Coturnix japonica: one gene and its partners. The protein of the gene in region 1 binds, or shares a complex with, the protein of each later gene. Links are inferred from orthologs where the notes say so. Each region holds a gene or a part of one and is shown in the gene's direction. Other genes may lie near its edges. The genes, in order: MED7, MED31, MED8, CCNC, MED13, MED23 and MED18.

Evidence for each region.
Region 2: the proteins of MED7 (region 1) and MED31 are in contact, whole or in part, in a cryo-EM structure (PDB 7EMF), measured with the Homo sapiens proteins. The link is inferred for Coturnix japonica from reciprocal best matches to the Homo sapiens genes MED7 and MED31. Residues at the interface, in NP_001094286.1 of Homo sapiens: Met15, Gln16, Tyr17, Ile18, Lys19, Tyr21, Thr22, Asn25, Ile26, Lys33, Pro34, Pro35, Pro36, Pro37, Ile38, Lys39, Asp40, Tyr42, Met43, Met44, Phe45, Gly46, Gln48, Gln50, Asp52; in NP_057144.1 of Homo sapiens: Asn14, Arg15, Leu16, Arg17, Phe18, Gln19, Leu20, Glu21, Leu22, Glu23, Phe24, Gln26, Tyr33, Phe36, Leu37, Tyr42, Asp45, Ala47, Phe48, Asn50, Tyr51, Tyr54, Tyr57, Glu62, Tyr63, Lys65, Tyr66, Lys68, Tyr69.
Region 3: MED7 (region 1) and MED8 share a complex: the UniProt entries of both Homo sapiens proteins name them as parts of the mediator complex. The link is inferred for Coturnix japonica from reciprocal best matches to the Homo sapiens genes MED7 and MED8.
Region 4: MED7 (region 1) and CCNC share a complex: the UniProt entries of both Homo sapiens proteins name them as parts of the mediator complex. The link is inferred for Coturnix japonica from reciprocal best matches to the Homo sapiens genes MED7 and CCNC.
Region 5: MED7 (region 1) and MED13 share a complex: the UniProt entries of both Homo sapiens proteins name them as parts of the mediator complex. The link is inferred for Coturnix japonica from reciprocal best matches to the Homo sapiens genes MED7 and MED13.
Region 6: MED7 (region 1) and MED23 share a complex: the UniProt entries of both Homo sapiens proteins name them as parts of the mediator complex. The link is inferred for Coturnix japonica from reciprocal best matches to the Homo sapiens genes MED7 and MED23.
Region 7: MED7 (region 1) and MED18 share a complex: the UniProt entries of both Homo sapiens proteins name them as parts of the mediator complex. The link is inferred for Coturnix japonica from reciprocal best matches to the Homo sapiens genes MED7 and MED18.

Annotation. Positions count from the first base shown.
Region 1 is NC_029528.1:6,561,722-6,565,239, reverse strand, and holds MED7 (mediator of RNA polymerase II transcription subunit 7), read left to right. Parts: upstream 1-1,423; 5' UTR 1,424-1,529; intron 1,530-1,736; exon of another isoform or gene 1,737-1,764; intron 1,765-1,947; 5' UTR 1,948-1,965; coding exon 1,966-2,658; 3' UTR 2,659-3,018; downstream 3,019-3,518. UniProt on the Homo sapiens protein: Component of the Mediator complex, a coactivator involved in the regulated transcription of nearly all RNA polymerase II-dependent genes.
Region 2 is NC_029534.1:8,576,617-8,580,591, forward strand, and holds the start of MED31 (mediator of RNA polymerase II transcription subunit 31), read left to right. Parts: upstream 1-1,175; 5' UTR 1,176-1,336; coding exon 1,337-1,346; intron 1,347-2,547; coding exon 2,548-2,625; intron 2,626-3,215; coding exon 3,216-3,312; intron 3,313-3,975. UniProt on the Homo sapiens protein: Component of the Mediator complex, a coactivator involved in the regulated transcription of nearly all RNA polymerase II-dependent genes.
Region 3 is NC_029523.1:17,388,685-17,392,658, reverse strand, and holds the start of MED8 (mediator of RNA polymerase II transcription subunit 8), read left to right. Parts: upstream 1-1,174; 5' UTR 1,175-1,254; coding exon 1,255-1,260; intron 1,261-3,200; exon of another isoform or gene 3,201-3,218; coding exon of another isoform or gene 3,219-3,224; intron 3,225-3,685; coding exon 3,686-3,804; intron 3,805-3,974. Other genes in the region: KICSTOR complex protein SZT2, read right to left, coding at 1-3, 606-779, 886-1,011, 1,145-1,174. UniProt on the Homo sapiens protein: Component of the Mediator complex, a coactivator involved in the regulated transcription of nearly all RNA polymerase II-dependent genes.
Region 4 is NC_029518.1:64,955,311-64,958,810, forward strand, and holds part of CCNC (cyclin-C), read left to right. Parts: intron 1-645; coding exon 646-713; intron 714-1,041; coding exon 1,042-1,121; intron 1,122-2,483; coding exon 2,484-2,602; intron 2,603-3,106; coding exon 3,107-3,161; 3' UTR 3,162-3,500. UniProt on the Homo sapiens protein: Component of the Mediator complex, a coactivator involved in regulated gene transcription of nearly all RNA polymerase II-dependent genes.
Region 5 is NC_029534.1:6,168,710-6,172,934, forward strand, and holds the start of MED13 (mediator of RNA polymerase II transcription subunit 13), read left to right. Parts: upstream 1-1,425; 5' UTR 1,426-2,035; coding exon 2,036-2,101; intron 2,102-3,823; coding exon 3,824-4,058; intron 4,059-4,225. UniProt on the Homo sapiens protein: Component of the Mediator complex, a coactivator involved in the regulated transcription of nearly all RNA polymerase II-dependent genes.
Region 6 is NC_029518.1:51,950,080-51,952,516, forward strand, and holds part of MED23 (mediator of RNA polymerase II transcription subunit 23), read left to right. Parts: intron 1-769; coding exon 770-984; intron 985-1,795; coding exon 1,796-1,916; intron 1,917-2,425; coding exon 2,426-2,437. UniProt on the Homo sapiens protein: Required for transcriptional activation subsequent to the assembly of the pre-initiation complex. Component of the Mediator complex, a coactivator involved in the regulated transcription of nearly all RNA polymerase II-dependent genes.
Region 7 is NC_029547.1:21,930,463-21,934,130, reverse strand, and holds MED18 (mediator of RNA polymerase II transcription subunit 18), read left to right. Parts: upstream 1-1,403; 5' UTR 1,404-1,516; coding exon 1,517-1,589; intron 1,590-1,755; coding exon 1,756-2,309; 3' UTR 2,310-3,168; downstream 3,169-3,668. UniProt on the Homo sapiens protein: Component of the Mediator complex, a coactivator involved in the regulated transcription of nearly all RNA polymerase II-dependent genes.

The DNA of each region.
Region 1 (3,518 bases):
TAACTAAAGCAATAAATTAAGGTCTTCTATCTTTGTGGCAGAGAACCTCATTTAAGTGATTCCCCATCTGCTGAAGTGGTGTTTGGGTTCATTCCAACAGATCTGTAGTAACTGAGCTGTATTATCACTGGTGGACTTGTCTTGGACAGTGTCCCTATTTGAGAAAACCACAGAAATGGAGTAGAAAGCAAAATTGAGAATGCTGTGTGTGGTACTCACCTTCATTCTCAGTCATCTCAGTCATACTACCAAGAATGAAAATGAAACCCCTTTTTCTTTTTGCATTTGTTGGCCTCTACGTGCAAACTAGGAAAATGACTCAAGATCAAAAGGACGTGTGAAAAACAAATGCTTGGCTCCCTGCTACCTTTTGAAGTCACAGCACTGAGAGCTGTACTGAGCAGTTCACAGAGTGCAAGGCAGCTGATAATCGAGCTCAGCTCGTGGTATGAGAATGTGAAATCAAAGTCTGGAAAGTCTAACAATAGCAAAGACTTGTTAATATCCCCCACCAGGTGGGTTTTCTCATTCCTCTCTAGAAGTGGTGCTTTTAACTCCTTGTCTGTGGGGTTTGGAGTTGCAACAGTTTGCTCTGCAAACCAACACCTGCCAATCCTACAAAGTAGTGAGAGTGCACTGAAGTAATATTTAGAAACAACTCTGCCCTTGATAGGGCACGTAGACAGCGGCTCTCTTACCCTTATTCCTTCTTATGAAGGAGGTTACTGCCATCTGCTGAGGAAAAAAGGAAATCAGAGCACAAAAGCCGCATTGCCAGACCAGTGGCCATCTGCAGAAGCGCTGCCAGCCAGCCCGAGGTCCCACGGCAATATGGAAGACACAGATAGTTGTTTTTTTCCTTAAAATCTGTCTTAAACAAAGAAATGGAAGAAAAGCAAGAAGTTCCATCGGTTTGTTGCAGACTTTATGCATCCAGGCTGCATGTGTTCAGCTATAGAAAGGATGCTAACACTTCCCAGGGTGATGCTTTCACTTTGTGATGGAATAACACCCAAATTTCTGTTGCATGGAAGCTCTACATATATTCCCTGCATCATTCAGCAGTTAAAGCATTGCCATCACACCGGCGGCTCCCCACGGTCTGGGCACTGAGCTCACCAGAGTCCAGGAAGCGTCTGAACGAGGGCAGTTCTACGAGTCTATGAAAGCAGTCCTGGAATACCAAATACTAAACACCAATTCATGCAGAAGTTGGTCTCACAGGGAGTCTGATGCCGACAAGAGTCGGGCCGGCCGCTCCCATCTCTGCCATTCGAGGATCTCTGCCATTAGAGGACCCTGCTGGGACCCCCGCTGAGATCCCTGCCGTGCCCCTGGCAGCCGCAATAGGGCGCCATAGCCCAGGCTGTGAGTGGAACGAGCTCCTGACTGGCATTGCGGGCATCCAACCAAAGTCTACGACGCCATTTGAGCTGCGAGCCAATGGAGGGGAGGAGGAAGGAGAGCAGTTGCCGGATGTGAGGTGTTGGTGTCGGTGGTGGCGGTGGTGTTTTCAGCGCGGTGTGCAGGTGAGTGGGGTGTTTTCTTTGGGCCTTGTGTGTAGGACCGGCCCAGCCTTTGTTTCTGTTCAGCATTGCGGCTTTGGGCCCTCCCGGAGCCGTGCTGTAGTGATGGGCCGGGGGGGAGGGGGGTGCTGCTTTAAGGGCTGCCTCTCCCTGCCTGCCGTTGTCTGCCGCTCCCAGCCCTGGGATGCGGGCTTAGCGGATCAGGCCTCTCCTTCCTTCTGTGCCTCCTCGTTGGCAGGTCTGGTTTGAGAAGTGCTTAATGTGCTGTGTATGTCAGTGCAAAGCTGACGTGGATTTATTGGGGAGTTTCCTGCTATTTGCGTGCTGAAGAATCTCCTGTCTGGTTTGTTTTCTTAGCTTCATGCGTGCTGTGGAGTTGTCGCATAAGTTATGTAATGCACGTTTCTTTTCTATCCACTAGGTATTTTAATCCCCAAAGATGGGTGAACCTCAGCAAGTGAGTGCCCTCCCTCCGCCTCCAATGCAGTATATAAAGGAATACACCGATGAAAACATACGCAAAGGTCTGGCCCCAAAGCCACCTCCACCTGTGAAAGACAGTTACATGATGTTTGGTAATCAGTTCCAGTGTGACGATTTAATTATCCGACCTTTGGAAAGCCAGGGTATTGAGCGGCTGCATCCCATGCAGTTTGATCACAAAAAGGAATTGAGGAAACTGAACATGTCTATCTTAGTCAACTTTTTGGATCTCTTGGATATCTTGATAAGGAGTCCGGGGAGTATAAAGCGAGAAGAGAAACTGGAGGACCTGAAACTGCTTTTTGTTCACGTCCATCATCTTATAAACGAGTACCGTCCTCACCAAGCTAGGGAGACCCTGCGAGTCATGATGGAAGTGCAGAAACGTCAGCGTCTGGAAACTGCAGAGCGATTTCAGAAGCATTTAGAGCGAGTTGTGGAGATGATTCAGAACTGCCTGGCGTCCTTGCCTGATGATCTTCCTCATTCAGAGGGGGGACTGGGAGTGAAAACAGAACCAATGGACACTGATGACGGCAACAACTGCATTGGACAGAGTGAAAAACAGAGAGAACGTTCTGGCTGCAAGAGAGATCAGGTGTTAGACAAAGATGCAGCTATGTGCAGCATTATTGATGAAATGACATGAAGGAATCGTGTCTTATGTTAACTTACAATAGAGAGAGGCCAAATGGATTCTGAGGGTACATGCTGTATTTTGTTTGAAGCGTTCACACTGACTTGGGGGGTGGGTGTGAGCTGCTAAGCAGGTGAGGATATTTAATATTTTGTGTGAGTTATATGTGTATTGGTCAAAACATAACTCTGCTTTGTGCAGCGTGGATGCTGTTAGGTTTTTTGTATAACGTTGTTTTGTCACTTGCAGCTTTCTGGGATGTGCTTCATTTTGTAAATGCCGTGTGCTGCTGGAAGCAGGGGGTTTGGCTGACTGAAATGGAAGCTGACAATTCCTGCATTTCAAATAAATGTTAGTTGTTTACACGTTAAATGGGTCTTTTCAGTTATTCTAGATTGAAGATGAAATCAATATGAAGCCTGAGAAATCCATTCCTTTCTAACTTTTTGTAGTAATGTAACAATGTTAAAGAACTTAAGAATTGCTTTATTACACATGTAATGTGGTGTAACTTGTCTGTGCCTGAAGTCTGTCAAATGGAAGCTACATCAGTTGTGTTTAAAGAGAACTGGACTTGGATCAAGCCCATGGCACAAAGAGTGATTTGATAATGGATAAGTGGCTTCGTTACTCAAGCCCTCCTGTCTGTAGCATGTCTGCTTTCCAAACTAGATGTAGCACCTTTAAAAAAAAGAGAGAAAGAAAAGAAACAATCAACTTTGTGGATGAGGGAACTTACTATAACTACTTGTAACTCTCGTTATGCAAATTATAACTTGGATAATTCAGCTGTTTTCAGGCATGCAGATTTATTTAAATGTGCAGGTAGATTTTAACCATTGGGTGGTGGGATTGAGATCGCTGTAGCTAAA
Region 2 (3,975 bases), on another chromosome or scaffold:
TTTGATGATGATAAAAAGGAAAATTCTTGGCTCAAACACACAGCTTAATACCTCTTCCCTGAAAGTCTGACTAAGCTAATATTTAAAAGCATAAATAAATCCAGCTTTTCCTAGAGAATGTTCTTAGTTTTTGTAATATGACTCCAACTTTCAATTTTGTTCCTAGTTTTGATGGCCAAGAATTGCGTTCTTGCACTTTACTCTGGCAAACCTACGTAGTAATTTAATTCATGTGACCAAGCCTTTCTTAGGATTCTCTCCTCTGAAGTCAGTCTTGGGAGATACATCGTGTTCCAGAATAGCACTGCCAATGCGTGGGATATGTTTGATCTCTGCTTTTAGACAAAAGTCTGTATTTACTGGGGAGTGACCTGCTAATTCTGTTATAGTAATGGTAGTACTCCACAACCACTAAAACCTTGGGGAAAAAAGAAACAAAACACAAAATTATTTTATTAAGGAAAGCAATGCAGAAGTCTTTTTTTAGGTGGTCTTATAGCCTAATTTCTATTGGGGCTGGAGGGGAACAGTTACACTACATAGAAAGAGATAGCACTACAGGAAAATGCTGAGACACTGAAAATAGTTTAACAAATCACAAATTTTAAAAAAGAATTAGGATTCGTGTTGAGCCTGTATAGTGCAAACTGTTACACAAGTGCCTAATAATGCAATCATAGCAGCAATGGAACTCAGGTAGCTTGACAGTGCTAAACCCCACCAGTCTTTGTTTTAACCAAGATATGAACATCCAGTGTGTGACCCCAGACATGAATGCAGCATTAGGAATAAATCTGCAACCTAAGTGCTGAACTCTTCTCCAGGTGCAATAGCATAGTGCTGTTCTGCACCCCTGGCGCATCTGTTTAACTGGTTTCACTACGACATAACTTCTTAATAAATAAACTGCAGAGGTTGTGTGAGATCAGCTCAGCATGAGCTGCCAGGGGGAAAGGGGAAAGGGAACGGGAAAGGGGAAAAGGGAAAAAGGGAAAGGGAAAAGGGAAAAAGGAAAAGGGGAAAGGGAAGAAAGAAAAGCACACACATGCCTAGGAAAAAATCCATCCCAGAACATTGCTCCTACAGGTACCTTCCAATCGTACTGCCTGTCTGGTAACAGCTCTCTTTCAAGACAAGGGGAAAAAAAGTTGCTCCAACTTTAGTTTATTTCAAAAGGTCATTTTCTACACAACTCGCATCATTAACGCAGCTCCTCACCACCACAGACCTTCCCATCTTGCCTCGTTGCGCCTCCCGCCTAACTCCCGCCTGCCGACAGCGGGCGCTCCCGCCGCCATTTTGAGGCCGGGCGGGGAGCGGAGCCCAGCACGCCGCCATGGACGCAGGTGAGCGGCGCGGTGCGGTGCGGTTCGGGCAGGGCGAGCGACTCCGGGCCACGGAGAGCGTCGGTGGTCCTGCCGTGCAGAGTTCGGGCGGTTCGGGAGCGATGGGCCGACAGGCTCCGAATCGTTTTCCTCGGGAGGGGCCCGGGGCGGTCCTGCTGCGCTGCCCTCCCGGCTTGGCCCTTCTCAGGCCGTTGGCCCCGTTGGGGCCCTTCGCGACGTTCATGGAGACACCGCGGCTCTTACCTGCCCGGACGCCATGGCAGCGGACATCCCACGTTGCATCTGTGGTCGAGGAGCTGAATCTTTTATAGACCCCGAGTGTTTGGATGGAGGGGACTTTATTTACAGATCGGACCTCCCGCCAGAGCGGCCTGCGCGGTGCCCCTTCCAGCCTTCCCTTGTGCAGCTCCAGGGATGGGGCCCCCACAGAGAGGGGCGGCCCGTGCCGGGGCCTCACCGCCCCTCGGAGAAGAATTTCTTCCTAACATCTAACCTGAGTTTCCTATTGTTTGAGTTTAAAGCTGTTCCTTCTTGTTCTGTTGTTTTCAGTCAGGGTGGAAAGTCAACATATTTTTCTATAAGCTCCCTTTCCACGCTGAAAGACCAGAGTGAGATCTCCCTGAGCCTTCTCCAGGCTGAGCAAGCCCAGCTCCCTCACCCTTTTGTCATAGGACAGCAGAATCTTGTGCTGACCCCTGGGTCTGTCATCAGTGCCTACTGTACACCAATAGTGTGAGAACACTGCAGGATTCTCACTAAACTGAGACATCTCTGTACAAAACAAACAAAACAAAAAGCAGCCTCACGGTAAGCATTTCTTAAATTATGTGCAAGGAGGCTTTCAGTGAGCTGCTGGTAGTGTTCTTTTCTTGCCTTCTTATATTTTCCTTGCACTAAAAGCAGGCCCCTTTCCCTTCCCTTTTCATATATTCTACATAAAGTGTCAGAGAGCATTTCTCCATTATTTGCATCGTTTTTAGTTGTTAAAAAAACAAACAAACAATAGTACATGTATTAACATGGGCCCAACACTTATTCATGTAATAGAAAAGACTGCTAGATGAGCCCATACTTGTGGGCTCTTGGTGCTTTATCTCCTCTCTAAACGTTTCTATTTTTGTGGCTCAAGTTGAGAAACTTACTTTTAAATCTGCCATGTAAGTCCAGTTTTTACTGTTTTTTTTTTTTCTCTTGTATTCAGATGATACAGGAAATCGACTTAGGTTCCAGTTGGAGTTGGAGTTTGTTCAGTGCCTAGCAAATCCCAATTACCTCAACTGTGAGTACTTAATGTCAGGGATCCTGAGAAGTTAATGTTATTTAACAGTTTAATGATTACGTGTAATGGTAAACTGTGTGTGTGTGTGTGTGTGTGTGTGTGTGTGCAGAGGCGAAGGGTAAACAAAGAAAAGGGAAGAGATCTTTAAGGAAAAAAGTAGTCTGAGGATAATTTAATTTGTCCGAATTTCAAAGGTGAGGTAGAAGAGGGAGGAGATGACACCTTTAAAATGTGAAATGATTATTTCTTGAAATAAAACACAACTGTCTGGTGGAGAATAAGTGCACATCTGTAGTAGAAAATAAATAATAATAATTACATTTCAATCTTAGAAGTACTCATATCTGAAACCAACATTTCACTAATGCTTATAATAGTTTCAGGTGGAATTCTTAATTTCTTTGGTTTTCCCTGACAGTTTTGATGTCAGAAGTTCCTATTTTTGAAGACATCGCATCCTTGTTGCTGTATAAAAGTTATATGCTAACTCACTATGCTTAACTTGTATTAGAGTGTTGACTTAAGATATATTTTTCCCTTTGTGTTTTTTTTTTATTGAGTTGTAAAAAATTCCTTGTCTCTTATTTCAGTTCTTGCACAAAGAGGATACTTCAAAGACAAAGCTTTTGTAAACTATCTTAAATATTTACTGTATTGGAAAGAACCTGAATATGCAAAATACTTGAAGTAAGTATTAAAAGCCCTCAGGTTTCTGCATTTTAATGATTTTTACCTTCTCTTATGCACTGTAAAGTAGCATGTGCATATTTGATTTCTCCCTGCAGCCAAAACATGCACTGTGTTTATATGCAGTATAAATTTTCCTGTTTCCTGTAGTCTGGGATAGGCACAATTAAAGAACGTTTCATTCTTGACATATGCATGGAATTTTCCATTTGCAACCTTTATCTGCACCTTCTATCTGCATAAAGCAAGATTACTGAACATCACGGGACAAAACTACTTCAGCCCATTAAGAACATTCTGAGAGTGATTTTTGCCCTGTTGATAGCTACACAAAGAATCGTTTTTTTTCATTTTTTTAATTAATGTTTAAACTCAGTTATTGAAATTTTTTTTGTTTACTTCAAATGAGCTCTGGAAAGAGCTATTTAATTAATTAGTTTTTGTTTTAATGAAATCTAGTATTTATAAAAGTTATTTTAATCAGCTCCGTGTATGTATTTATATTGTTATTGGATTCCCTGTTTTCTAGCCTTGTAGTTACTGAAGGTATTAAGTTACAGTGTATGGAAAAGGTACAGCGCTCACTGTTTCAGGTACTTGAGTAAGGCACTAAATGACTAAAATAATGGAGAGATACTGGAGACTCCAGTTCTAGTGCACCTT
Region 3 (3,974 bases), on another chromosome or scaffold:
ATCCTACAGAAACAGAAGAGGAGAATTATAGAATCATTATAGCTAAGATTACCTTGTCCAACCATCAACCCATTCCCACCACACCCACTAACTGCACCTCACATCTCCACAGCTTTTGAACACCTCCTCAGTCCTTCTGACCACACTAGTTCTGATACAAGCCAGGATGCCTTCTTGGAGACCTGGGCACACTGCTGGCCCATGTTCAGCCAGCTGTCAGCTAACACTCCTAGATCCTCTCCCTCCATAAAGCTCTCAGCCACAGCCCCTAAATCAGCAGCACTGCATGGGGTAAACAAAACAGCTTTTACATCTTCTGGAATCTGCAATCTCATTGCACCCACCACACAGAGACAAGTACAAGCCTATTTCTGCAACAGCAGCTGCCTCAGAACGACCCCTGCAAGCAGAGGTCACACATTCTGCAAGGAAACAGGATCCACTGCAAGGCTGTGTTGCCAGCAGCAGTGCCTGCTTCAGCCCTCAGGAACACAGGACCCCTGCAGGAGTGACCACTAATGCAGGGACACACATGTTCTCAGCAGAGGGAACCAAGCCTGGTCCTTTAACACAAAACACCCCAGAGAGGCAGCTCCTGGACTCACCACGATGCCAGTGGAAGGGCTCAGATCGAGCTCAATGACAAAGCGGTACTGGCGGGCCAGGAACGTAACGCGCGTGGAGGGCACCAAGAGGTAGGGCCGGGGCTGGACGGGCTCATCCGGCTGCCATCCGTTGGGCAGGATGCTGAGCACATCCAGCTCGTTTTCTGACTTCAACTACAACAAGAAGCGAACGACAAGCATGAAACATTACTCCAAGCCAAAGGACACGCCGAGATGCAGGGCCACCATCCACCCTGCAGCACCCCCGGCCCCCACTCACCAGCTCGGGCTCGGGCACAGCCCAGATGACCTGGTGCAGCCGGCTGAGCACCCAGGCGAGCCGCACGTTGCGGGAGATGCGATAGTCCTTCTTCATCAACAGGAAGACGTGCCCAGCCTCCTCCACCTGCAGCAGAAGCACAGCGCCTCGTCACTCCAGGCCGGGCACCACCACAACCCCCGACCTCTCTACACAGTTCCCGGTCTCAAAGCCGCAAACAACCCCGCCTCCCCTCGCCCCGCAGCGCGTTACCCCTCACCTCAGCCTCGGGCCTCTCGGCAGCCGCCATGTTTGCCCGGCGGCCCCGCCCCGCGCCCTCTGACCTGACTCGGAAGTGGAAGGCTGCCATAACAACAGGGCCGCGCAGCCATGCAGGTGAGGGGCTGTATGGGGTTGAGCAGGGCTGTATTGGGCTGGGCTGGGCTGGGCTGGGCTGGGCTGGGCTGGGCTAGGCTAGGCTAGGCTAGGCTAGGCTAGAGGGAGCAGTAGGCCCGTATGGGGTTCCGCTGTGCCCCGTGGGCCGGGCTTTGGAGGAGTAAAGCAGTGTGCCCAGTTGTTCGAGAAGGTCTATGGTATCTTGGCTCGTGGAGGCTCAGTGTATCCTATAGGAGCGGGGTGGTGGGCGTCCCTCTGTGCTGACATTGGTTGAGGCCGCATCTCGAGTGCTGCGTTCTGTTCTGGGCCCCTTAAGCAAGAAGGGCATTGAGACCTGAGCGTGTCCAGAGATTGCGACAGGGAAAGTGAGGGGTGGAGGCATTACAGAGAGCAGCTGGGGGAGCTGGGATGGTTCAGTCTGGATAAAAGGAGGCTCAGAGGGACCCCATGACTCCCTTAAACTCTCCAAATATTTACAATGGGGTGGAGGTCGGCCTCCTCTCCCAGGTAACAGTGACAGGATCCCTTGCTTTCCTAATAAATCCCATTATTACTTTGATTTCCTCGACTTCTTGAGCCTCAGGCTGATGTTTCCCTGGGTTACCCTCGGATAATCCTCAGATCTTGTTTGTGAGTGATAATGTTATCAGCTCAGAGAATGTCATTGTGTGTGTGTAAAGTCAGGGTTGTTTATTTCTCTTTGTTTCATTGTGTGTATTGCTTTATGTTTATTCTGAATTTCACCTTTACCTCCCAGTCATTCATTATCAGGAGTTCCTTCAGCAGTCTCTCCCGTAAATCCTATTTTATTACCCTGGGACAATTCAGTATTGTTAACAGACTCCTTGAATTGCTGCTTGTATATGTCTGTGAGAGGCAGAGTATTTCTTTGAATCATTGATCTTGGTGCACGTGTGCTTTGCGGTGCTTAAACTTACTTCCAGCTCTCATGGAGAGAGCACACAAAAGGAGGAGGCTCAGACTGCACTGTCACACAGTGTAGTGTGATTTCATTCACAATCTTTAGGGCTTCTTGGATACGCGCTGGCAATGGGCCACACCAGTTGTCTTGGTTGTGTGTACCTGCCACCTCTGCAGTGAGATACTGGCTCCCAGCCCAACTCGTAGTGCTGTCAGTGGTTCATCTTGCTCAAACACAACGTGCACAGTCAGCGTTAGACTTGTTTCTTAAGTGCACAGGAACAGACTAGTCCCATCACAGGATGGCGGAGAGCTGCAGTGCTGTAGCTGTGAGTTGTAACCCCGTGGTTTGCTCTGTTAATCCATGCTGTGGATTGGAAGTGGATTTTAGCCACATTTATTTTGCCATTTCTTCTAAGGTAGTGAAGTCTTATCAGCAGTCTATGGAAAAAAAAACAAAACCTTTATAGTCTTGTCAGACCGTGAGTAGAATAATTTCATGTTCTCTTAAATGTGGAAGATACTTGATGATCTCATGCTAGTTTCAGTTTGTTTAAACAGCACAAGGATCCCAATAGTGAGCGTGCAAGCAGACTGAGTCACCCCATCTGCTTTCCCAATCAGCATTCCCTTTCTATTATTTAACTGTATTGCTGTGTCTCACCCTCCTCGTGGATTATTGTTGTACAGTCCTTGACTTACATTAGCAGTCCATTAGGATTGGGGCTTTAATTACATTTTGTGCAATTCTGTTGAATGAGTAAGAATAGATAAGGTTCTAGAGGGTTTTCGCAAGAGTCGGAGATATTCTGTGCTATATGTGACAACAGGTCTCCTCTCCTATTGCTTTGTATGTCACCATACTCCTCTCAGCTAGGGGAGAAGATTATTTAAGCAGTGCACCAAGGCAAAAGGCAGCAGGTGATCTCTGCATGTGTCTAACTACGTCACTGACACTGCAGCGCCTTCCACAGCTGGTAAGGGACAAGGAATTTTTAGGAGCTGGATGCAGCACCTGGACAGGAAGAAAGTGAGAGATGAGGGTAAGGGCAGAAACTGGAGTCTTTGGGCCACTGATCTGATACTTGTTTTGCAAATGGCTGTGCTGGGTGAAGACATCACTGTGCCTGCTGTCAAAGGGTGCTGAGAATGCTAATCTGCTTTCAGCTGGGTTAGCATGAATAACTCACGGAGGTGGTGCAAGGTAACTTTGATGACTTTGCCTGATGCAAGTGATGTATAGGCTTTACTTATCTAGATCTTAAAAATGACAGCTAGCCATGGGTTGGCTCAGGTACGAGTCTCTTCCTAAATGTTTCTTACAAGGAGACAAGATAAGTGTGAAAATGTAGGATTTTTATCTACGTGGTCTCTGTTTCCTTGCCTTGAAGAGGAGTCTCTCCATAGGAGAGGGTGGAATATGGTTGCAGATGTATGGATCCCCACAGTCCTTGGAAAGGTACAAAGCTTTGTCCTCACCCCTATCTTTCATTCTTTTTTTCAGAGAGAGGAGAAGCAGCTGGAGCTGACCCTGGAGGCACTCATCAGCCAGGTGGCTGACCTGAAGAACTCATTGGTCAGTTTTATCTACAAGCTGGAGAATGAGTACGATCGACTCACATGGTAAGGCATCCCACAGAGACAGGGCACTGTCACTGATCGCTGCTGAAGCTCTTCTAGACTCTGCCCAAAAAGTGTAATTAAAAGCCACTAACTTGCTCTCCACAGGCTTACCTTCACTTTTCATGTTAACGTTGGTGAAACTACTGAGTATCTCCCACCCGAAAAACAGT
Region 4 (3,500 bases), on another chromosome or scaffold:
TCCTTTCAGCAAGAAAGCGAGTGTTTAACAGTTATGCCTCAGAGATGGCTTAGCAGGCTAAATAATACAAAGGGTATACTAGTTAACCTATGCACACGTGTCACTGGCTTAAATTATTGTTTTTAACCCTGTAATGGTTTCTACTTTGAAATGCTCTGGTTTTTATTTTTAGAACAGCTCCAATAGCACCATTTTTACACTGTTAAATGTCGACTTTGTGTAGACACAGCTATCTTTCTGTTAGAGTCAGCTTTCAGTAAAAGCAGTACATGGTTCTGTTTCTTAGACTGGTAAAACAGAACTCCTTAAACACTTTAATTGTTTCTCCAATACAGACAATAAAAATACTACCTTTACTTTTGCTTCAATTTGCTTATTTGCGGAGCAGGGATAATTAATTTATGGTAGAAGAGAACACACTCTGCAGAATGGCACTGATGATGTTATAATAGTGTTTCCAAACAGACTTCTGCAGTGATTGCAAGGAAAACAATGGTTGTCTTTAATAGACTTTTAAAGAGGAAGAGATCTCACTTTCTCTATTTTGCCCTGTATACTCTTTGTTTCTACCACATGGGTAACTGGCAAAATGTTTATGAATCATGTAGTCTAAAGGAGTTGTTATGCTCTCTTTGTTTTGCACAGGAGGATAGTGAATGACACGTATAGAACTGATCTTTGTCTGCTGTACCCTCCTTTCATGATAGCTCTAGGTAAGTAACACAAGTAACGTCACTGTCACCTTTAAATAGATGCCTTCTGTACTTTGTCCCATCAACAAGTTTTCCTTAGTACGCTCTCTTAAGCTTCTCCAGTTTATATTTCATACAGTACTGACAGTATAACCTTGCAACTTAGAAAGCCTTGAAGAAAAATCAGGTAATTAATCCCCAGATTTCTTCTTTGAAAACTCGCTGAGATTTTTTGCAGAGGAACTGAGGAACTCCAAACACCATAGAAAAGTACCTGACTTGGAGAGTATTTCTAAGTGTATTAAGAGATACTCAACAATGATTCACTCTTATCACCTGATCTTTGCAGCTTGCCTACACGTGGCCTGTGTTGTCCAGCAGAAGGATGCGAGGCAATGGTTTGCTGAGCTATCTGTTGATATGGAAAAGGTACTCTCTTTTTACCTCCTGCCCTCTGCTATGGACTGACTAGAAATGTTAGCAGTGGTTTGAACCTGTTTTGCATGTGTGTGATACTGATTTGAACTTCATTCAGCAATCGCATTACGGACTATTGAAATTAGGTAGGAGATAGGAAATGTCAGGTCATTTGGGTATCACTCTGCACTGAAAGACAAGACATAAGGGCAGAGCATTGCTGCTGTTGCCATTTTACAGACTGAAATAGAAAACCAGTATCTTGTTTGTTTATTTAATTTTTTTGCTAGAAGAAAAAAGAATTCCCAATATTTATTGCTCAAGATTGAACAGTATTCTAATAAACAACATATGTTTGACATGTAAGGTTATCATAGGCTTGGTGTTGAATGTGTTTGAATGTTTAAACGTTTCTGTTCCCATTACCAGTGATTACATCTAAGCTTGATTTTTTTTAAAAAAAATTAATTTTTAGATTATTATTATTATTTTTAACCTTTAACACTATGGAACTTCATAGCCAAACATAGTTTCTGGTTCAAGGATGTATATTGTTCTAGCATTTGATCAAAGTCCATAAACTGGAAAGAAGTTTACTTCATTAATTTAGTAAGTGGCGAAACAAATAATGAAGCAAACATGGTTTGATTTCTGGGTGGCACTTTGTGAAGCTGGAGTTGGACCTGATCCATGTGGGTCCCTTGCAAGTGGGGTTATTCAGTATTTATCCACCTTCTGTGTAGAATATTGCACTAGAAAATTAACAGGAAATTAATGTAGCCTCCAAACTGGTAGAGAATATTTATACTTCTGGAAATAGAGTTTGAAAATTCAACAGTTCTTATTATAAAGTATTGAGACACTTCCTAGCTCTTGATTTTTTTAATTTTATTTTTATTATTATTTTGGAAGTAAAGAATTCAGGGCACCGTTGGTTGGTTTCATTTGTTTTTAGTACTGTGCCCCCATGGCTGGTATAGAACACAGACAATAATCAGTTACTTCATTTGTAATCCGTAATCATTTAGCAACAAACACGTTGCCAAGTGTCCTTGTTTTCCCAGTAGCATCAAATATAAGCAGCCGTTCGACTTTGGGAGGAGAAATGGTTGATAAAGTGGGAGGGAAATGGAGTGGGAGAGAGAGATATTGGTTCTGTCAGGCTTCAGTTCAACAGTTAAGCCAAAAAACTCTTTGCAAAAATGGTTGATTGCCAGACCGGATTATATAGGAGACAGCTCTGTTTCTATCATGAGAATTATGCTTCTTAATTTGAGTTTGAGAAATGGATAATTAACTGTACACTGCAAATGATGATATAAATATAAAAGTCACTATTGTGATTGACCTAAAATGTACTTTCTTTCAAATCAGATTTTAGAAATAATCAGGGTTATTCTGAAGCTGTATGAGCAGTGGAAGAACTTTGATGAGAGAAAAGAGATGGCTACTATCCTTAGCAAAATGCCTAAACCAAAACCACCTCCAAACAGGTACCATACCTCCATTATTTACTGCACCTTTCATATGGGAAAAAATAAAGTATTATCTTATGTGCTATGTTAAGTTTGAGGCATAGTGTATGACTGCACTGCCGGCTTTCCTCTAAGTACCCAGTCAGACTGTTCAGGAGGAGAATATTTGCTCTTTCATGGAAAGCAGTAATGTAGTTAGAATCTGATCAATACAGTTTAAAAGGAGCAGTGTGAGGCCTGATGAAAGGGCACGATTCTTTAGAACAGTGCCTGTTTGATGTCATGTTTAATTGCTGTGATTAAATATCATTACGTGGAATCTGCACGTGCAAATTCCTATGTGTGAGCTTCTGTTATGGGAACTCTGAAACGCTGATTTCAGGAGTGAATTCAGAATGGAGTTGCATTGGAATATTTTGAAATCGCTGTTCAAATACATGAATAAATGTTTTCTGTTTGCAAAAGACAGAAATGCAGTACGGTGCTGCTGTTCTGAGACGTGTTTCTTTTCCTTTCAAACAGTGAAGGAGAACAGGGTCCAAACGGTAGCCAGAACTCTAGTTATAGCCAATCTTAAGACATTCCAAAGAACTTCTTTACGGACCACTTTGACTCAAGACATCCTGGGATCTTTCCTGTGTTCATGAAATGGACAGAATTTTTTTAATACCATCTTTGACAAAGAACTTGAAGAATAAATAGCTTGTTTGTGTCAAGCATTTTGGAAGTTTATTCTTTAAAACTGCATCATTTTCTCTGACGCTGGAGCAAATGTACTAAGATTTCTCAGTGTAAGGAATCAAATGTTAAACCAAGCTGCAGAAGGGTAACACTGTCCACTCAAAACAAGTAGTTCATTACTGGTTTGGTTTGCTTTGAGAAAATTGTGGCTTGCCATTAAAAGTGATTTTTATAT
Region 5 (4,225 bases), on another chromosome or scaffold:
GAAGCCGCCCGGTGTCCGCGGCGCGGCGCCCTGCTTCCCCCGGCGGCGACGGCGGCCATGGCCGGGCGGACCCACGTGACGGCACGTCGCCCAATGAGCTTGCGGCAGGGGGCCCCGACTTTCGTCCCTGTGTCCGCCATTAAAGAAAAAGGGGCTCAGAATTACACGGCGGGAGGATCGTGCCCTGAGCCCCGACCCGGCCGACATTCGACATGGGGGACACGCGCTGAGGGGGGGCAGCCGGATGATGAACACGATGCCGCGGCCGGGCAGCCGCCGACAGAGGCACCGCTGAGGGACAGCGAGGAGGAGGAGCAGAGCCGGGGGCTCCGGGGCAGCCCAGCAGCAGCGATAATCAATCAGCGATCAATCAATCAATCAGCGATCGATCAGCGGCCGACTCGTCCTTCAGTCGGGGTTGGGGGGTGGGGGGGCTCCGAGCCCGTTCCCTTCGTGCTGAGGAGCACAGCCCGGGGCTCGGCCGCCGCCTCCCCGCCCTCCTGACGAGAGACTTCATCCACAGGAGGAGGAGGAGGAGGGGGCTCCTCCGCCCACCGCCCCCGCGCAGCGCCCGGAGCCCCCCGAGCCCCCCGCACCTGAGGAGAGCGGCGGCAAGAGCCCCCCCCTTATTCCTCCACACACATCCCCCCCCATCGCAGAAGAAACCAACCGGCTGAAGATCATCATTTGATATTTTTATTCTCCCCCTCCCTCCCTCTCCCCCCGCTTTTTTTTTTTTCCTTTTTTTTTTCTCTTATTTAACCATTATTTTTTAAGGGACCAGTCCCTCCTCGCCTTCCACCTCGGGAAGGAATTGGGGGGGGTGAAGGGTTGAGGCTTGTGAGGGTTTCGTTGCGGCCCAGAGGCCCCTCGCTGCCCGCCGTGACCCGGCGCCGGGTTGGGGGGGGGTTGGCCGCCCCCTGAAGACTCAGCGATTCCCCCCGACGGCTCCATTGGGACGCTCCGTCCGCGCCCGACGAGACTCCGAGGGCCGCCCGCAGTTCCAGCCCCCTCCCCCTCCTTCCCCCCACGGACGGATTCTCACCCTCTCCACGATCAGCGCTGATTTCGGGGACGGGGCCGTTTCCCCCCATCCCCCCGAGGAGACTTTTGCGGCCTTTCCCTCTCCAGGATCCCCCCCTTCCCTTCCTTTTCCTTTCCCCCCCCCCATCAGCTCCCGCAGATGGTTTTTGGGGTCTCCCCCCCCCAGGACGATCTCCTCTCTTCGGCCTTCTCCAACCCTTCCGGCTCTCCTCACCGCCGGCCCCTCGCGTTTGTTTTGATGATTTTACATTTTTAATTTATTGGCAATTTTTTATTATTATTATTATTTTTTTTTTGGAGGGGGGGAAAACGAAGAACCCCCCCAAGCCCCCCTCCTTTCCCCCCCCCCCTTTACGCACATATACCCTGTTGCCCTCGGACTGCGAAGCCACGAGCCCAGGATCGGGCCCTACCCGAGCGCTGCGCTGTTGCCCCTTTTCTCCCCGAAGGAAGAGGAGGATTCATTACCCCGTTGGATTATTTATTTCCCCGCGATCAGAGGAAGGAGAGATGCCGGCCGGGTTCTCCCATTAACCCCCCCCCAGGATTCGTTACCCCATTTTCTCCTGTTGGATACATCACCCCTCCAGAAGAGGAGCGGGGATTGATCCCAATCTGCGCTGCGTTACCCACCGCCTCCCTCTGTCCTCCCCTTTGCCTCCCCTTATCCTCCACCCCCTCCTTCTTATTTCATATCCAGACGAGAAAACGCTCTGAGTTTCTCTTTAAAAAATAATAACAATAATTTTTAACCCCCTCCCCCCCCCATTCCTCTCTCTTACACCCTCCCGGGTTATTTATCCTACCACTATTCCGTGTGTGTATGTGTGTACGTAAAGCCCTTATTTAACTGCATTATTATTTGTGCGTGTGCCTCGCCCCCTCCCCCGTCCCCTCGCAGTGTCTGTCTCCCTCTCCCTCTCTCTCTGTCTGTCTCTTTCTTTCTTGTCGGAGGCTGTGGGATAATGGCGTGTGGGTTGTGGCTGTGAGGATGAGTTCCTGCTTCGTGCCGAACGGGGCCAGCCTGGAGGATTGCCATTCCAACCTCTTCTGCCTGGTGAGCGCCCGAGGCCGCGCACACGCGCGACGTGAGCGGAGTGGGAACGGGAGGCGGCCGGGGGAGGGGAGGAGGAGGCCGGGCAGTGGCAGCAAAGCAGCCATTTTTAGCAGAGCTTCTGCTGGAGGAGCCCTCGGAGCAGGCCCAGCCGGGCGGCAGCCCAGCTCTCTCCGTGCCCCCCCGCCGCCTCGCCTCGCCCCTCCCTCCGCTTTCAGCCCGGGCTTCGCGGCTCCGGCCCTGCCCTCAACTTTTTGGGCTTTCTTTTACCTCTTTACTGAAGGGAGCTGTGCCTTCTCCCCTCGGCCAACTTTCTCCTTTCCCTTCCCGCTGCACGCATCCCACGGCCCAAACCCTTCTCCCTGCCTTTAAGCCACCCCCCGCCGCCTTTACCCCGAGACCCCCAAGCACTCTGCAAAAGCCTTCTATGCGTTGTGCACCATTTTGTGCTCTTTATTTTTCCTTCCCCCCTCATTCAACCTCAGTACGAAATTGTTGGGATTTTTTTCCTTTTGGTAGCGCAGATTGGATTTCATTGGGCTGTGATGCAATTTGGGTGCTGCACTCACCTCCTTCATCGGCTTAATGCAAATCGGCCGATATCAGATGGCTGCCCGATGTATTTTATCATCATTGTTATTGAAATCATTATAAGTAAAAGCATCCACCGAACCAACAAAACCTATGCCAGGCTGTGGGAGCTGCTGGATGGGGGAACCCCTTTGGGGCCTGCAACCCATTCTGCTGCCACCTTTGTAAATCCAGGCTGTCTGAATGTCAACTGTTGCAGCCCCCGTAGCTTCCATCTAAATTGTTTCTCCTCCTCAAGGTAGAAGGCTGCCATGTTAGGTTTAAATGTTGCAGTGATCTTAGGTGGAAATCAGTAACTTGTTGGCAAGTAGCACCTCGCCTCCGTGCTGCCTTCTTGATGGGAACTAAGGGGCATTGCAGCCCCAAAGGGCCTTAAGGCTGAAGTGCTTGAGGGGGAGAAGCTCAGTGTTAGAACTTAGTGTGGTGCTGGGTTGGGGATAATCCAGGAATTGTCGCTTTCCCTCTAGGTATGGTGGTAGCTCTTCGCTCTATAAAGTCGGATGAAGCTTTGCCCAGAAGGGGATTTAGTGGATCATAACCAATGATGTGTAATTTAATGAGAGAAACAGGATTTAAATTCTTAAAACGTGGGGTGGGAAATGAAAAGCGTGATGGCTCAGAGTGAAATAAGTGAGCTTGAGGAGCTTCCTGCACACGATAGGGAATTTTACAATAGGGAAGCAGTGAAATCTTCTGAAGTAGCAGAGGAGTGGCAGAACGTGTGGCTGAGCTGGGTTTTTTTTCCCTATTTCCTGTATCCTCAGAGTAATCTTGGATTTCAAAAGGCAGCGTAAGCAGAAGTGAGCATGAAGTGAGTGGTTATTTGCTAAGGCGAGCGCTTCTAAGATTGGACATTTGGAGCCTGCAAAGAATTAGCTAATTGTTGCTCGTTTTTCATTTTTTGTTTTAAATCAAATGGGGTGTTTTTTTTCTCTGTCGCTTTAAAGCTGCAGTGAAAACGCTCAGCTCTCACTTTACTGCAGCTATTAGGAGATTTAGAAACCAGGTGCCTGGTTATTTCCAATTTACCTTCTCAGGTGCGCAGAGCTTAGAAGCGTGGTTCCTGTTACAGCTGGCTGTTTCTATTGGGAACATACCCCGATGTCTGATGGTTTCTTTTTTTCCTTCCCTTAGGCTGATCTAACTGGGATTAAATGGAAGCGATACGTATGGCAGGGTCCAACGTCTGCCCCCATTCTCTTTCCGGTGACGGAAGAGGACCCTATTTTGAGCAGCTTCAGTCGCTGTCTGAAGGCAGATGTGCTCAGTGTTTGGCGCCGAGACCAGAGACCTGGACGCAGGGAGCTGTGGATATTTTGGTGGGGTGATGACCCCAATTTTGCTGACCTTATCCATCATGATCTCTCAGGTAGGAAGAAACGAATACCTTCTTTTGGTCAGTGCTGTTACTCCTGGTGTTCTCCTGCCAGCCCTTACAGAAGTCTGTGTGAGATAAACTGTTGTCTAGAGATAAGATAAATGTATTCCCATAATCTACAACTTTGATTTTATGGTGATAATGGGAAGAACTGTCAG
Region 6 (2,437 bases), on another chromosome or scaffold:
GGAACTACAAACTCAAAATTTTCTATAAGGCTTCTGATAGGAATGTAATTGTCTTAACACTTACATATCCTTTACCTGTATGTGTTTATATCATTCTCTCAACTTCCTGCGAAATATTGTTAAACTATATAAATATACCTAAGACTGTAAAAGCAAGTGATTGCAGTATTAGTGGTCATGTTTCAGTAGATGTTTTGATCTTCTGAATGTAAGGAAAGGCTGAATAATTTTCTCTTATTTCTTGTTGGCTATGTGTGCAACAGTTGTCCTTGTGACCTTCTTCTTTCAAAGTGGTTTCTTTCTTTGAGGAGGAAAAAACAGCGTGGATTTTGTCCTTCTTATTTTTGATCCATGGATTTCTCTGGAGCATTTTCCTCGAACCTTTGTTTATACTCTCTGACATTTGTACCTTGCTTTTTGTTTTCATGTTTTTTGGTCTGTCTGTGCTTGTACTCAGACAATTTTAGGTCTCTTTCCATGAAGGCTTTTAACGTCTGCTCTGTTCCTTTTGGTCTCTTTTACAGTAGCTCTCTAAATAATTAAATTAATGAAATATGTTGTGATAACATTATGTCCTTGAGTGTACCCCATCCACAGACATGGATGTGTTTGTTTTGTATTATGCATCTTAATTTTCAGGTTCATCAAACAGGCATATAAACTGCTATCTAGTTGAAAACATCTTAAATATAACAGTGCTTCTCATCCTTTCTCTGCTGTTGTCTATAATGCTCTTTGCAGAAAGAATTAAGACTCTTTGTTTTTCCAGGAACCATACTGGATTGTTCTCCATGACCACATTGTGAGTGTTATCAATAGTCCCAGCTTGACATCAGAGACAGAGTGGGTTGGTTACCCTTTCCAGCTGTTTGACTTCACAGCATGTCATCAGTCTTACTCTGAGATGAGTTGTAGCTACACTCTGGCTTTGGCACATGCTGTTTGGCATCATTCTAGCATTGGACAGCTGTCTCTCATTCCCAAGTAGGTGTAATTATATTTGATTATTTGTTTTCAATTTTACATGTTGTATATACTGAAGCTGTACCTGTAGTATTTATACCAGCAAATATGTAGGGAGTTGCACTGAAATCCACTCAATAAATCACGAGTCCTTTTTCAGCTCCCTTTTTCCCCCCCCAGCATAGCTCTTATTATCTGTAAGTTTCAGAGCTCTCATCTAGAGTGTGATTGCTTTTCACGACTGCCTTTTGAAAAATTTCTATTAGTTGTATGCTTGTTTTTGTTCATTTAAACTTTTCCTAAAGTGCTGATTGTGGTATAATTATAAGGTGTCAGCTACGGCCGGTGTGTCTTTAATTCTGGAAAGTACCCTGTAGCTGCTCAGTGAGATGCTTTGCTGATTGAATGACACAGTAGTGGCCCACTTAGTCATTAAGGCAAGGGAAAAGTACCACTGCATTAAAAAAAAATACTGATTTGACTTTCCACAGTGCTGTGTTAATGGTAAGACTAACAGCTATCATTTGCTAATAACAAGTTTTAACGTACTGGGCAAAAGTGGAGGTGGTATGATGAATTCCTGTCAATTGGTTGTGACCATTGATTTAAACGTAATGTTAAAACTCCAGAGGACAGCATTTCCACTGTACATAGCATTCTACTATGCTTAGGTGGGATTGCTTTTCTCTTTGAGAATATTTTCAAAACATCACAGTAATTTCTAAAACAAAGGCTCAGATCCATCGGAGATAATCTGATTCCTTAGCTGAATTTTGGGCAAAAGGAGGAAAAACGTCTGGCTGAAGTAATAAGTACTTTGGAAATATTACAGGTTCCTCACAGAAGTGTTGATACCCATAGTGAAAACAGAGTTCCAGCTGCTTTATGTTTACCACCTCGTCGGTCCTTTTCTACAGCGGTTCCAGCAGGAGAGGACACGATGCATGATAGAGGTAAAGTAATAGCTCTTGGATCACGTTGTACAGCATCCATTATTTTTGCACTGCAGTTATATTATAAAGTCTGACAGAGATGTGTCATAAACATCTGGAATTGAATTCTATACAAATAAAACTGTTTTTAAAAACAAGCATGGTCTAGATAAAAGGTAAACATGGTCAGCATCTCTCTAGAAGCTTCAAAACTTGTTCTTAACTGTTCATACTTAAATGGATTTTATAGGCTTTTACTCACAGCATACATTCAGTCAGTGGTGTTTAACTATTGCTTGCATCCCATATACCACAGTTTCATCAATACACCACTTAGGAAAAAAGAACCATGTGGTTAACCATAATGGGATTGTTTAGTCTTGCTCATTTGTCCATTTGTACTTGAAAGAAAGTAAACAGTTAAGAAATGCAGATACTTTAAAAGCAGTACACATTTCTTAAGCTGTATAACTGTTTCCAGTGTAAAGTGCATTAAAATGTTTTCATTTTTTTTGTGTTTTTGGAGACAGATTGGGGTGGCC
Region 7 (3,668 bases), on another chromosome or scaffold:
GTTTTGGATAGGAGTGCTGCATTCAAACAAGAATCAGTAACAGATGTTTACATTTCTTTTAAAAGAAGTCTCTCAAGGCACGGTGTGTTGGCATATTACAAACTATCTTTTGTTCTCGGTGTTTGACACTTATTCCCCAGGAAGAGGTGTGAATCTACTGCTTACACTGAGATAAATGAAGTCAGAAAATCACACTGTTCTGTAATACTACAGGGTTGGGGTTGTTTTGTTTTTTGTTTTATTTTATTTTTTGCTTTAATTCCTTTTAAACTTTTTTGAGGGGGAATATTTATTTTAAGATTTTTTTTTTTTAATGGAATGTACTAATTAAGGGAATTCAGTGAAATGTCATGTTAATGCAACAGATTTTGTATTAAAATTCTGTACTTGGACCAGTGAAGCAGTCTCAGGTGTTCTTAATGTAATATAGAAAACACAGGCGTGTTCTGGTTTGATTCACCTTCTGGAAGGTTGCTGTCAGCATCACCCTGTCCAGCTGATCATGGGAGGAGAACTGTTCATGTGCTTGATGATCTTCTTAGGGGGCAGAGGTGGTGGCAGATCAGTGGTTTGGCCTAGATGTGTTCGCTACAGGAATGTGGTGGAGCTTTTAAACGGGTGTCTAGCAGAGGTGCTCTTTAAAATTCAGCTTCAATGTAAGTCATATGGGTTGTCTTGTAGTGCATCACCAAATCAACATTATTGTAATGAGCTCACAAAGCTGCTGTGCAAGCATGAAGACGTACTACATGCTAGATATGCTACGACAGCATGCAAATACCATGGATGCACATCTTCCTGGAGTATTGTTAATAGCTGTCACTTTATTTGAGGAAGATCTACTTTATTTCTGTGTTCACTCAGTGAGCTTATTTAAAGTAACGCTGTACTGACAATAAACAGTGGCTCAACGTTCATTATGATGGATTTAACTGGCTGTAGAATTAACATTTTGTATTATGACTAAGTCGTGTACATTTTGGTACAGAACTTCTTTTTCAGTTTGAGTAAAATAATCCTAGATTTACTGGCTTAATTGTGATACTTTCAGATTACCTCATGATGCAGTGAAATAACCTAGCAAACAAAAGGTTAAGGAAAACTGTCCAGCATACAGTGCAGTATTAAAGACTGAAGTGGGTCTGTGATACCAGCACTTCTCACCTGGTATTGCAGAAGCCGTTACATTAAAAAAATCCCTTTACAAGTACATCAAAGTAAGAGGAGAACCAAGGAAAATGCCCAACCTTTACTTGATGCAGCGGGGAACGTGATCACTGAGGAGAAGGCTGGGATTCTCTGAGGAGGAGAAGGCTGAGTTCCTCGATGCCTTCTTTACATCTGCCTTTAAGGGGCAGTGCTGTGTGCTTGGGGATGAATAACTGGATGTCTGTGAGGAGGAAAGGGAGCTGGTCGATGTTCGGCTGCTCCTCACCGCCAGGCCGCACTGTGGCGCCCGCCTCCTCCTTCAGGCCTTGCCTTTCTTCCCGCCGCCATCTTTACCACAGCCGCCAAGATGGAGGCGCCTCCCGTCACCATGATGCCCGTTACGGGCGGCACTATTAACATGATGGAGTACCTGCTGCAAGGTATGGCCGGCACACAGGGGCTGTACACGGGGCTCGGCCGCAGCGTGGGGCCGAGGCGGGCGGCGAAGGGGAGGTACCTCCCCGCGGAGGCCCCTTCGCCGCCTGCCTCGGCCCCGCGCTGCGGCGGGGAAGGGGCCATCGTCTGAGCCGTGTGTGTCCACCACAGGGAGCGTCCTGGACCAGAGCCTGGAGAGCCTGCTGCACCGCCTGCGTGGGCTGTGCGACAACATGGAGCCGGAGACCTTCCTGGACCACGAGATGGTGTTCCTGCTCAAGGGGCAGCAGGCCAGCCCCTTCGTGCTGCGTGCCCGGCGATCCATGGATAAAAGCGGCATGCCATGGCACCTGAGGTACCTGGGGCAGCCGGAGATCGGAGATAAAAACCGACACGCTTTAGTGCGAAATTGTGTGGACATCGCCACCTCGGACAACCTGACGGATTTCCTGGTGGAGATGGGGTTCCGTATGGATCACGAGTTCGTGGCTAAGGGACACGTGTTCCGAAAGGGGATCATGAAGATTGTGGTGTATAAGATCTTCCGTATCTTGATGCCTGGTAACACGGACAGCATCGAGCCGCTTTCCCTCTCCTACCTTGTAGAGCTTAATGTTGTGGCACCAGCCGGACAGGATATGGTTTCTGATGATATGAGGAACTTTGCAGAGCAGCTGAAGCCTTTAGTACACCTGGAAAAAATTGACCCTAAGAGGTTAATGTGATGAAAACTGGCTTGACTATCATAGCATTGCTGTAGCCAGAAGTGAGTGCAGGGACTGGTTGGAGTCCTATGCACACAGAACTTTTGTTCAGGGCTCCACTGCTTCCTCTCTGTGCTGGAGCAGTAAGCAGTATTAAGGTGCAACACTTATAAATAGAGATATTGACTTTATGTTGTTGGGGAGCAAGGGGTAAAAGGCTTTGATGTATTGGTTTTGTTTTTGTTTGATGCTCAGCCAGCATTTGGTATTTGGTTATGCAGGTTACATATATGCATAAGAGCAGAATGTATGTAATTCCCAGAGATGGAAGAGAATAAAAGTCTGTTTAGTGCATTATTCATTGGATAGTCGGTCCCTGATGTCTGAAAGGAGTAGTTGCAGGAATTGCTTAGTTTTAGATTTGAAAGACCTGAAAGATTCCCTCCTAGCAAATCCAGACTGGGAGCTGTTTGTTATTGGAAGCAGCTTTGTTGTTAGTGTAGAACAGGAAGCTCTGGGTCTGCAATTATAACCTGGGGGGAAGAAACAGAATTAAGACCCTTCACAGCCAATATGTTGGCTCAGAAAGTTGAGCCCAGTGCCCCCGAATGTGCCTGTAGAGAGTCAGGTGGATGGGGCCAGGCTTTGACTGTTGTTGCCCAGTGTTGGGACACAGGAAGGTCCATCTCAAAGTGAGGAATTACTGCTTCATTTGGGGGTGACGTGGAGCAGGCTGCACAGAGAGGCTCCTTCCTGCTTACAGCCACTTCCATCAGCCCAGCACGATGCATTAGTTTCACAAAAGCAAGGTCAGGCATCCCACTATTTCTGTGTTTTTGTGCTCTTTGTATGTTTTATTAAAAATATATCTTCAAAAATACCCGTCAGCTATTTGCATTAATTTTGTATTTTCTTTGCAATTCTTTTTCACTCAATACAAGCCAGTATTTTGGGCAAACATGAAGTAGTCTTCATTTCTCAAGATCATTATGGAAACGTACAACCACGCTGCCTTTTACTAAAACACACCAATTGCTGTCAGTCGCTGTCATGCTTTAACAGCACGAATGTTGCTGTATCTCCAGCACTCCTCAGCCCTGGGTCTCCATTCTCCCCACACACTCTCCCCTAATGTTGTTATTTCTGTACAAATGAACACAGAAGCTGAAGTACAACTTTGGAAGCACTCTATATTGTCTAACATGCTTCTGATATGCGAGTGCAGGGTGAGACGTTTCACACATCAACAGCTTATGTGGATATTCCAGCTTTCACTTCAGCAACCTCGGTAACACAGTCAAGCTGCTTTCTGCTAAGTGCTTTACATACACTGTAGTGTATGTGTATGAAGCGGCATACAGCTTCAGACACAACCCAAGG